Linked DNA regions of Kluyveromyces lactis. The protein of the gene in region 1 purifies or fractionates together with the protein of each later gene. This does not show direct contact. Links are inferred from orthologs where the notes say so. Each region holds a gene or a part of one and is shown on either strand. Other genes may lie near its edges. The genes, in order: SHO1, MSB2 and OPY2.

Region 1 (2,930 bases):
TGTGTTTCATTAAGAAGTTAGACTCTTTAAGGTACACTTCTTCCATTGCAATTACAGCAGTTGGGTACTTATGCGTATTAGTTGTCTTCCATTTTGCCGTTCCAAATAGCGAAATCGACCATTTAAGAGGCCATGTTAGCATCTGGAAACCCAGTGATGTGGATTCATCCATGCTAAGCAGTTTTCCAATTTTCGTTTTCGCGTATACTTGCCATCACAACATGTTTTCCATCATCAATGAACAATCAGACAAATCTTTAGACAGTATAACGAAATTGATTAGGATTGCCATTACGCTAGCAATGTCTTTGTACATTTCCATTGGAGCGCTAGGTTATTGCACCTTCGGTGATCATATTACTGGTAACATTATCACCTTATACCCAAACTCCATTTCCAGCACCATCGGTAGAATAGCTATAGCATTGTTAGTGATCCTTGCCTTCCCGCTACAATGTCATCCAGCTAGAGCATCTGTCAATCATATCTTACATTACTTCTCCAAGGGGAACACCCATCCCCCAATGACAACCACAAGTGCAGAACAAAACAGTCTATTACGGGACTCTGAACTCGAATCTAGCGAACAGTTAACCTACGAATGCGAAGACGAATTAATTGAAGAAAACAGCGCTAATCAGCCTCCAGTAGTAACGTTAGAAGGCCCTAGATTCATCTTTATCACGTCTGGAATCCTATTATTTTCGTACATCCTCGCTATGAGTGTTACGTCGCTAGCAAACGTTTTGTCAATAGTAGGAGCAACCGGATCCACTTCTATATCCTTCATCTTACCTGGAATATTTGGCTACAAGTTAATCGCATCGGAGTACGCCAAATCCGTTGTACCACCAGCAAAAGAACGAATCTTGAGAATTATCTCATTGTTACTTGCTATTTGGGGATTCATCGTCATGATAACTTCACTAAGTGCTACCATATTTCTACATGCGACACATTGAGGGTACAGGATAAACAGGGTACTAGAGACTAACCATTGATACTGCTACCAATTGTACTCCCGATTGACACTCTAAATAAGCGGCCCGCGTATTCCTAGCGAGCCTTTGGTTGCTGCCTGTCACATGATCAAAAAATAACTCATCTCTCATTGTAGACAGACACCAAAAAAAATGATAAATGTATACCGTATATACATAAATATAAAAAGTAATCAATACGAACATACTTGAACTTGAAGCAAGTTTATTTCAATTTTAGTTGTTGTGTTGTCACAAGTGTTCCAATAGTCCAGCGAGGCAAGGGAATATCTGCAAACAGAGAGATGGCGTTGATTAAAGCAAGTCAAGCCCGTGCTGTAAGGGAGAATCCGCATGTATCTCATCAATTTAACATCTCGTCATTTTTGGGCGATCCTTTTGCCATAGGCACACTTAGTATTGCATTGATCTCATGGATCATTGCATTGGCGGGATCCATTGCTGTTGCAGCATCTACGTCTCCATTCCCAAGATTTTCTTGGTGGACTATAGTTTACGAGATACTACTAATGATTACGCTTTTTATCGTGTACTGTTTGGATTTAGTTGACTACTATAGAATGTTCATTACTTGTGCTGTTGGTATCGCATTCGTATATACTTCGAATAGTACTAACAGTATTGTGTACTATGAAGGGTCCAAGAGTGGTGCAGCAGCAGCAGGATTTATCTTGTTATCCATGATCAATTTGGTGTGGGTGATTTATTTTGGTGGAGATAATGCATCTCCAACCAATAGATGGATCGATTCGTTCTCACTACGCGGAATTCGTCCTTCGGTGCTAGAGACATCCATGGCTATTGCCAGATCGCAGAGACTGCCGGTCAAACCTTCTTACCCATACCAATACCAGGAAGACTTGCGTTCAGCATCTCTGCCTGATGTCCACCACGATGACGAAGGTGAGGGCCACAGTGGCAACATGTATGCGCCAGAACTTCAATCGTCTACAAAGTATGTGTCGTCTACAGTGCTGAACGGATTTGAAAATACAGATCATTCCTCTTCGAAACCAAACCTTGATGTTAATGCGCAAAATACTGCTACACTGAATACACAGGCCACTGGCACTTTCATCACAGATACCACCAATGCCAACACAGATACTACCATGGGAGACACATTAGGCCTATACAGTGACATTGGTGAAGAATTAAACAGTTTCCCATACACTGCAGAGGCTTTATATACCTATCAAGCGGACCAAACTGACGCGTATGAAATATCCTTCGAACAGGGCGAAATTCTCAGGGTTGGTGATATCGAGGGTAGATGGTGGAAAGCCAAGAAGTCAAACGGGGAAACAGGGATTATCCCAAGTAATTACGTTAAGCTTTTGGATGGGAAATCACACTGATTTTATTACTGCCTCCCATCAGTTTGTATCATTAAACATTTGATTTGTGTATCGTCTTTTATATTATATTATTTCCACAGTTTGCAATAACAACCGGCTTATCAACCTTATTCGCGAAAAATTCAAGTGCTTTTATCAACACAGTTACTGAATTCTTCATTAACACGCAAATACTTGCTTCGAATGAATCATGCTATTTAATGAATATGCTATTATTTATAATTATACTGCTTGCAAATCGCTTCAGGTGCTGGTAGTATAATAAAGTCTTCATCTCGAGTAAGAACTTCAAACACATCAATCTTAATAAAATGGGGACCATCCCATGTAAATTGTCGCTAAATTTTGTTTGTCAGTAGCACTGGACAAAAGCTCCTGAACAATTGCTTCAACGCTCAAACCGTCTCCATATAACTTACTTTCAACTCCCTTTAGTGCTCTTATGGATTCATCATTATTATTATCTTCTTCTAAAAGCTCGCTGAAATCTGCATCGGAAACACTAATTTCCTCCTCATCATAATCACCAGTAAACTTTGCTTGCAATCTTTGCTTCTTCAAGGGAGTCATC
Region 2 (4,316 bases), on another chromosome or scaffold:
GGTTACAAAACTACGAAACGCATTTACAAAAGAACAAAGGTCCTATGTTAAAAGAGTTATTACATCTTGCCATGGATCCTTACCACGACCATCACAGGCCATACAAGGAATCTGAATCCAAGGCAGATGAAGAGGACCGTAAACGGGAATCTGAAGAAGTACCAAAGAAAAAAGCAACAGAAACAGAGCCAGAGACAGAACTAGAGCTAGAGCTAGAGCCAGAGACAGAGACAGAGACAAAATTGGTATCGGACGCAGATGCGACAACGGCTGCACCAAAGATTAAATTAGCACTAAAGAAATCCATTGGAAAGACAAAGAATGAGATAGAAGAGGAAGAGACTCCTGAAACCGATGCGTTCCAACAGAAGTTGAATCTACTAAGGGAAAGCGGCGTAGTGGAAGAACTCGTCAAAGAATACTTGGGAGTTTACGAGCCCGACTTAGTCTCATATATCTTTGAAAACATCGAAGAACATCAATCGAAACAGGCACTCGAGACTGAGCTTACAGAGACGTTCGACGAAGATAGCCCTGTCCTAGTGAGCCGTATATGGGAAGCGATGGAACAGTAGTGGAATATACCATACATGTGAATATACATATATATGTATATGTAGGTATGTGTGTCACATGTCTAATAATGAGATTCTATTACCCGGTTACGTCTCACGTGACTGTCACGAAATTTTTTCGCCCGATTCGAGTGTTCCAGCCAGATCGGGCGGTAACATGAGGTTACTAGAGGTCCGGGTAATCGTGTTTCATATTGATTCGCGTTTTGTATATCGTATATAGCGATACATTCTCAACTTCACCAATTTTTTACCAGATCCAGAACGGTTACAGGAAGAATTGGCAGGATGAGATAAACAAAGGAACAAACATAGAGATTCTATTACTTGTAACTTATGTACACACCTGATAATGGTGGAATTTAGTTTCTGTTTTCGTTCGGGTTGCTTTAGGCAAAAGATAATAAGTTTTTAGATTCGAGATTTATCGTCAGGGTCAAACTTTTCAACAAAGAACGTTACCAGTGGTAATATTTTGGTGTATACATCTTTCTTTTCTTTGTGTTCCTCCATTCATTCATTTATTGATTCATCTCAAATTACTTATAAGTTTTTTATACATTTGATAAGAAGGATCTATTAGAGGTTTTTAATAAAGAAAGATTATCAGAACTGACCTACTGATCCAAATTACCTTCCAATCCTCAGTCTTTAGGAAACTGCCATCGTTTGTTTAGTGAGCTTATACTTTGAACGTGACAAGAGCTTCAGGCAGGTTGAAGTGTACTATCGATCTCTGTTTTTTTTTTCCCCGTCCCATTGTTTGGTGATATAAAATTATTACTTATTATTACGGATTGCCGGTTTGTCATTAGAAAACTTTGAGAATCTCAGGTTTGAACTAAGGCCTTCGGCAAAACTTTGATTACTTTTCCAACTATTTTACATTCTTTTTTCATTTGATTTCATTCGCTTAACACGATGCAATTTTCCAATTTAAGGTTTTTGTTAACCGTTATATTCTTGGGCAACTTTTTAGTATCTGCCCAAGGATTCCTGGATTTTTTCCAGACTTCTCGTTCTGATAACTCTACTAGATCCATTCAGAGTACCGAGACCAGTTCCAGCACTGAGAGCAGTTGGAAAACTACTTTGAATTACGATTCATTGACAGTGGCAGAACCATCCACGTTCTCGCTTTCTTCAAGCACGCACTCTAAGAGTCGTACGAGAAATGGTAATGGCGATGATGATTCGAGTAGTACTTCAGGTACCACTTCTGTGTTGACTCCTTCATCGATCACCTCTTCTGCGATCTCACGTTCTACCAGTGGAAATGGTATCCCATCTTCTGAATACTCGGCTTCCTCCTCGAGCACTGCAAGCGATTCTGCTAGTGTAACTACTCTATCCGGTTCCTCCGCTCTTTCTTCTGAGACTACCTCTTTTGGGACTTCTTCAGCTGAAGATTCTTTTGTTACGACAACTGTTACTGAAACAGGTTCTGCTGAAAGCAGTAGTGATACAGCTTCCTACATCACCGATTCTGCTTCTCAGGTTTCTTCTTCATCAGTCCTCTCGTCCGTGGAATCCTCTTCTACTGAACCATCCACTTTTTCTGTTGTAACATCATCAATTGAGCCTTCTTCAACTGAACAAATTACTTCTGATGAAACGTCCTCAAGTGATGGTGGATATTTCGTTACAACTTTCACTTTCCCTCCTGTTACTTCTTCAACTGAATATTCCACTTCTGATGAAACGTCCTCAAGTGATGGTGGATATTTCGTTACAACTTTCACTTTCCCTCCTGTTACTTCTTCTACAGCATCTGACGAATCTATCCCATCATCAACTACCGATGAATCCACTGGTATTCAATTCCCCACTTCGCGGTCCACAGATGTTTCTTCGACTACTGATGAATCAACTGGAATTTACTTCCCTACCTCAAAATCAACAGAAGTTCCTATATCCACTACTGAGTCCACTGATAATGATTTCTCCACTACAGAATCAACAGAAGTTCCTATTACCACCACTGATGAATCAACAAGAATTTCTCTCTCCACTACAGAATCGACCGAAATTCCTACCACTACGGAAGAACCAACTCCTTCTACTACAAGTGCCGACATCGTGGAACCAACTACCACTGAAATTCCATTAAGCACTACTAGTTTGGAACCTCTACCAGAAAGCAGTACCTCAGAATCTATTCCAGAGCCTTCAACCAGTACTATCCTCACGGAGGAAACATCATCATTGCCAATTGAAACTTTATCGACTTCTGAACCATGGGCTACTGATGACATTCAAATCTCTTCATCAGTGTTACCTCCATCTCAAGATGTTGTCTCATCAGAAACAGTGGTTAGTACATCTGCTCCATCAACAGATACTGAGACATTGGCTCCAACAAGTGCTACTACATCACTTCCAAGCATTGTTACCAAACCAATTGAAGAACCATCATCAAGTACAAGCCAGGTTGGAAGCACTTCCGTAGTTTCTACCGTTGAACCAGTTGTTTCACTACCTTCCACTACTACAGAGCAGCCAGTGTCCACAACACAACAAGTTTGGTTGCCTACTACCATGGTAGCAGAATTCGAAACATCTGGTACTCAATCTACATCTACCACATCTTCAAAGATCGCTACTGAAACATTGCCTCAAGCTATTACAGCTGCCACTGAAATTGTGCAACCTGCAGGATATACGCTAATTACCGTTGGATTCAAGAAGGAGTTGAATTATCCATTTACTGTCAACAATCCCGTTTCTAACGCTCAAATTTTTGAATTTTTGCCAAAGGTTTTGAACTATCCCTTCAATGGGGCCCAAAAATTCGATAATACTTCAGTTTTGGAGTTAGTTCCATTAAAGGTTACAAGTTTAGATTACCTTGTCACTGTTGCAAAAGTATATTTCCCAGAAGATTCTGTCTCGACTCTTCAAGCGCAGATTTTGAACTCTTCCAGTGTCATTTACAATAACGATGTAACAGCATTAAAACAGCTTTCATCGTACATTGATGCCTCTATTCCACTAACTGGTCTTGTCAGTTCAGATTCTGGTTCCTTAATTTCGTCAGATTCTGACTCTGGATCTGACTCTGACTCTGATTCTAGCTCTAACTCTGACTCTGACTCTGGCTCTGGCGGATCTGACTCGACTAAAGAGAAGTCGAGCAGCGGCAGTGCAATTAACTTGGGTTCCTTAGACGATCAAAACTACAACCCAGGATCAAGCAACTATTCCTCTAGTAGTTCAAGCAAATCTTCTACAGGTACGAACGGGAAGACCATCGGAATTCTGGTTGGTTCCATTGTCGGTGGTTTCTTGATAGCCTTGGTTTGCATCTGCTTACTTGCAGTGAGAATTAGAAACAAGAAGAAGCAACTTCAAGCTAATCCAAATCTAGATGACCAACATTCTTACGACAGTTATGATTACGAATCTTCGTTCGATTTTAATCCAGTTGTTGAAAAAGGTAACGTTATGAACGACGACCAGGTGTCAATCAGCCCAAGTGCTAAGATTAATAACTGGATTGATTATAACACTTACAGCGATTACCCTGAAGATGCTGCTTCTGTCGCAAATAATGGGGAAAAACAACCTCAACTTTCAACAAAGACATCTAGTTTGAAAATTTCGAAACCAATTGCCACAGAAAACTCATTAGGTTGGAATGACTTGTAATGGTAAAATTTGATTCACCGATCTTGTATTCTGTTCTTGCTTTTTTCTCCACTAAATGATACCCACGAGAGGGTTGCTAAAATGGTGCTCGAC
Region 3 (3,088 bases), on another chromosome or scaffold:
CAAGCGAATACGGCACATAAAACATCTAACTAGCGGGATTTAGTCTCTTATAAGTTATTAATCTACGGTTCAAGATTGAATCCAGGAAGATGATACCCTTTATACTTATATAGTATCACAAAAACATGAATTAGCTCAAGATATCAATTGATTTCTTCGTTTAAATTAGAATGACAGAAAGTACTTTAATGTCCCGCAGCCGCGATCAGGTACAGATATGTATTGGGACTGTATCGTGAACCCGTTGACTATTTCTGTGTTAACTCTGTGTACGCTTGTAACCTTTTAAGTTGAAGGGGAGGGGAGGCACAAGTGACAGATAATCTGAGTTGCATAACGTATTACCCGGTTGCACCGAGTTACTTTCAAACAAAACTGAAAAGTTTATACACACGTGACACAGAATTCAGGAATCCAAGCTCGAGAATTTGAAAACATTCAGGATCTGATCCGCTCACTCTTTTCTTTTGGAAAATCGCCAAAAGGAAAAGGAAAAGGAAAGACGACTGGCTAGCTTAGAACGGGAAGTACCAAGAGCCATGTATTCAGCCAGAACGTGCAATGAATATGATAGCTAGCTGGATTTTCCAGTGAACGGTATGTGCTAATTGCAATGAAGGTGGTATTGGGTAAGTGAGAGGCCTTTACAAATGAGGAATTTCACGTACTACGGAAGCGGTGAAGTATTTTTCTTGGGCAATGTAAAACAACGTTCAAAGAATTTAGAATTCCGCACGTTGAAACGCTGACGCGATCCAAAAATATAATAGTTTAAAAAGAATCTGAATGGGGTTGTTTCTTGCCTCAGAGGCCTGTGTATTCTATTCCAAAAAAAAAAAATCAGTCGTTTTATAAATTCTGGAGTTGGCCCAATTACAGGCATACATTACAATATAGAATAAAGAGCAGTTTCAATAAATCCATTAGTCAATCAGTTAAAAACTTTTGGTTCACTTTCAGTCTTCTCTTCGAGTTTTGTATTTTCGGTTTTTTTTTTTGGTTCTTCCATAGACAGCGAAAAATCAAAGATTCCATACAGATATCATACTGAACTACTTCCAAAATCTGTTGTATCTGACAAGGAACCACAAGGTCTTTCCACCATCCACCCTTACCGCTAGCTCTTTCTCTATTGTCAAGATAAACAGGGCCATTCCCGGTTTAATATTGTCTGTTGACTTTATATTCATTCTGCTCATCGCGTTCTTTCAGCAGCAGAGCTATTCACCATAGAAGTGATACTGAAATATAGTTTTGGCGATCTAGTACCGGCTTGAAAAATGTCGGAAAGCGTATCCAGTACTGTAAGCAGCAGTGTGTCAAGCACAGCTTCAAGTTCTAGCACTAGTACTGCAAGCTCCGGAACTTCGTTGCAAGATGGTTGTGTCACTTGTGATAACAATGTAACGTGCCCGGAATGTGATGATGATGAGTACTGTGTCACAACATCATTAACGTGCACACAATGCCCAAGAACCTATTGTCAGAAGAAGGCATCTTCAAGCAGTAGTAGTGCATCATCATCATCGTCTGCGGCTGCTATTTCTAGCGGAGCGTCTTCTTCGTCGTCCTCTTCCAGCAATAAGGTCGGACCTATTGTTGGTGGTGTCGTCGGTGGTGTCGCATTCGTAGTCATAGTCGTGGTGTTGGGCTTCTTGTATTACAGATATTATAAAAGAAAACGGTCTGCATTGCCCCAGGATCCCGAATATATGGAAAAAGGTACGAGTCTTGATCCAAACGGATCATCACCGCTTCATCCAGGCATGCTTCGTGTTGGCTCTTCGTCATCACGCGTCAGAGAAAGGAACAAGAGAAATAGAAGTAGCGCTGCCACCGTTCAGACCAGTACCGCATCAAATATCATCCCTGTAGCATATATCCCAGGTGTCACCACGAATCTAACGAAGAAGAATTTGAGGAAAGGCCAAGGAAGAGGTTCAAGAAGATTTTACCAGGATTCAGATCGAAAGTCACATATTACATTGGGGTCCAGTATTCTTGGCGGTGATGAAGATGACGACGACGAGCTCCAACAGAACTTACAAGATTTGAACGAGGAAGAAAGCGGTTCATTTGCAGGGAATAATAATAATGGTGCGGGTGCCACGAATAATATGACTACTGCAATCCGAGCTAGACCGAAATTGGTTCAAATCGATGAAACTGCTGAGGAAGATGAAGATGAAAATGCGAATCATGGAGTAGATCAAGAAGCTGAAGAAGACATCGAAACAGAGGCTAACGAAACGGGCAATACCGATAATCCATCACATTTCAGAGAGACGAATGTTCAAGACAACTCAATTGGTCATGCAGGACACGGCAATGAATCTCAACAGCAACAGGAAGAAGAACAAGGACAAGGGCAACAAGGAGATATACGACACTATAGAAATAGTATGGACTCCTCCAATTCGGACTCACGTGATCCGTTCCATACCACCGTGCATTCATCATCTGACTCAAACAGCGAGGGATCATTCATCTTGGACGTGGAAATGGCAAGTAATCACCATTAAACATGACTACCACTTTCCCTTCCCCACTAATCTTTGGTAACACACCAGTTGTACAATTTTAGATACAGTATGTAATAAGACCTGTTATATCGGGCTAATTCTTGTCAGGAGCACCTGCGTCCTTCGGTATATATGCGAGCCTTTTCCCCCAACAAGCCCCGCAATATACCATAAATCAACGATGCTCTATAAGTTTCCAAATAGAATGTAGGATCTACTGAACCCTGCATGTATATGTCACTCGATCATGTCACAATCTGACTACTTAAAAGAACGTCTCTTAATACGCAATTTTCACTGCCAACATGATTTCCAAACGATATTTGCCAACGAACCAAGAATTATCGGTCCAACTTCGAAAATACTACCTATCCACAGTGTTTTTATATATCTAAGCTATGCTACCCTGGGCTACCCTAGGCTACCCTACCTATATGCTTCCCGTCCGATCTTCGATTAACTCTTAAATCACAATTGCTCACCCAAACATCACATCAGCTTATGCCAAGGGTACAGGCCCTCCACAGTAACCGGAATAACTTACGTCGAACCAAAAAAAGAGGCTA

What was found.
Region 2: the proteins of SHO1 (region 1) and MSB2 purify together in Saccharomyces cerevisiae (affinity purification with western blotting; 4 studies listed by BioGRID). This does not show direct contact. The link is inferred for Kluyveromyces lactis from reciprocal best matches to the Saccharomyces cerevisiae genes SHO1 and MSB2.
Region 3: the proteins of SHO1 (region 1) and OPY2 purify together in Saccharomyces cerevisiae (affinity purification with western blotting, with the first as the bait; 3 studies listed by BioGRID). This does not show direct contact. The link is inferred for Kluyveromyces lactis from reciprocal best matches to the Saccharomyces cerevisiae genes SHO1 and OPY2.

What each region holds. Positions count from the first base shown.
Region 1 is NC_006041.1:628,492-631,421, forward strand, and holds SHO1 (osmosensor SHO1), read left to right. Parts: upstream 1-1,285; coding exon 1,286-2,359; downstream 2,360-2,930. Other genes in the region: AVT5 (amino acid transporter), read left to right, coding at 1-962; DNA-binding protein kinase TEL1, read right to left, coding at 2,663-2,930. UniProt on the Saccharomyces cerevisiae protein: Plasma membrane osmosensor that activates the high osmolarity glycerol (HOG) MAPK signaling pathway in response to high osmolarity.
Region 2 is NC_006039.1:1,596,227-1,600,542, reverse strand, and holds MSB2 (Msb2p), read left to right. Parts: upstream 1-1,496; coding exon 1,497-4,223; downstream 4,224-4,316. Other genes in the region: SNU71 (Snu71p), read left to right, coding at 1-575. UniProt on the Saccharomyces cerevisiae protein: Plasma membrane signaling mucin that promotes activation of the MAPK for the filamentous growth pathway. Partially redundant with the SHO1 osmosensing branch for the activation of STE11.
Region 3 is NC_006038.1:796,488-799,575, forward strand, and holds OPY2 (Opy2p), read left to right. Parts: upstream 1-1,280; coding exon 1,281-2,522; downstream 2,523-3,088.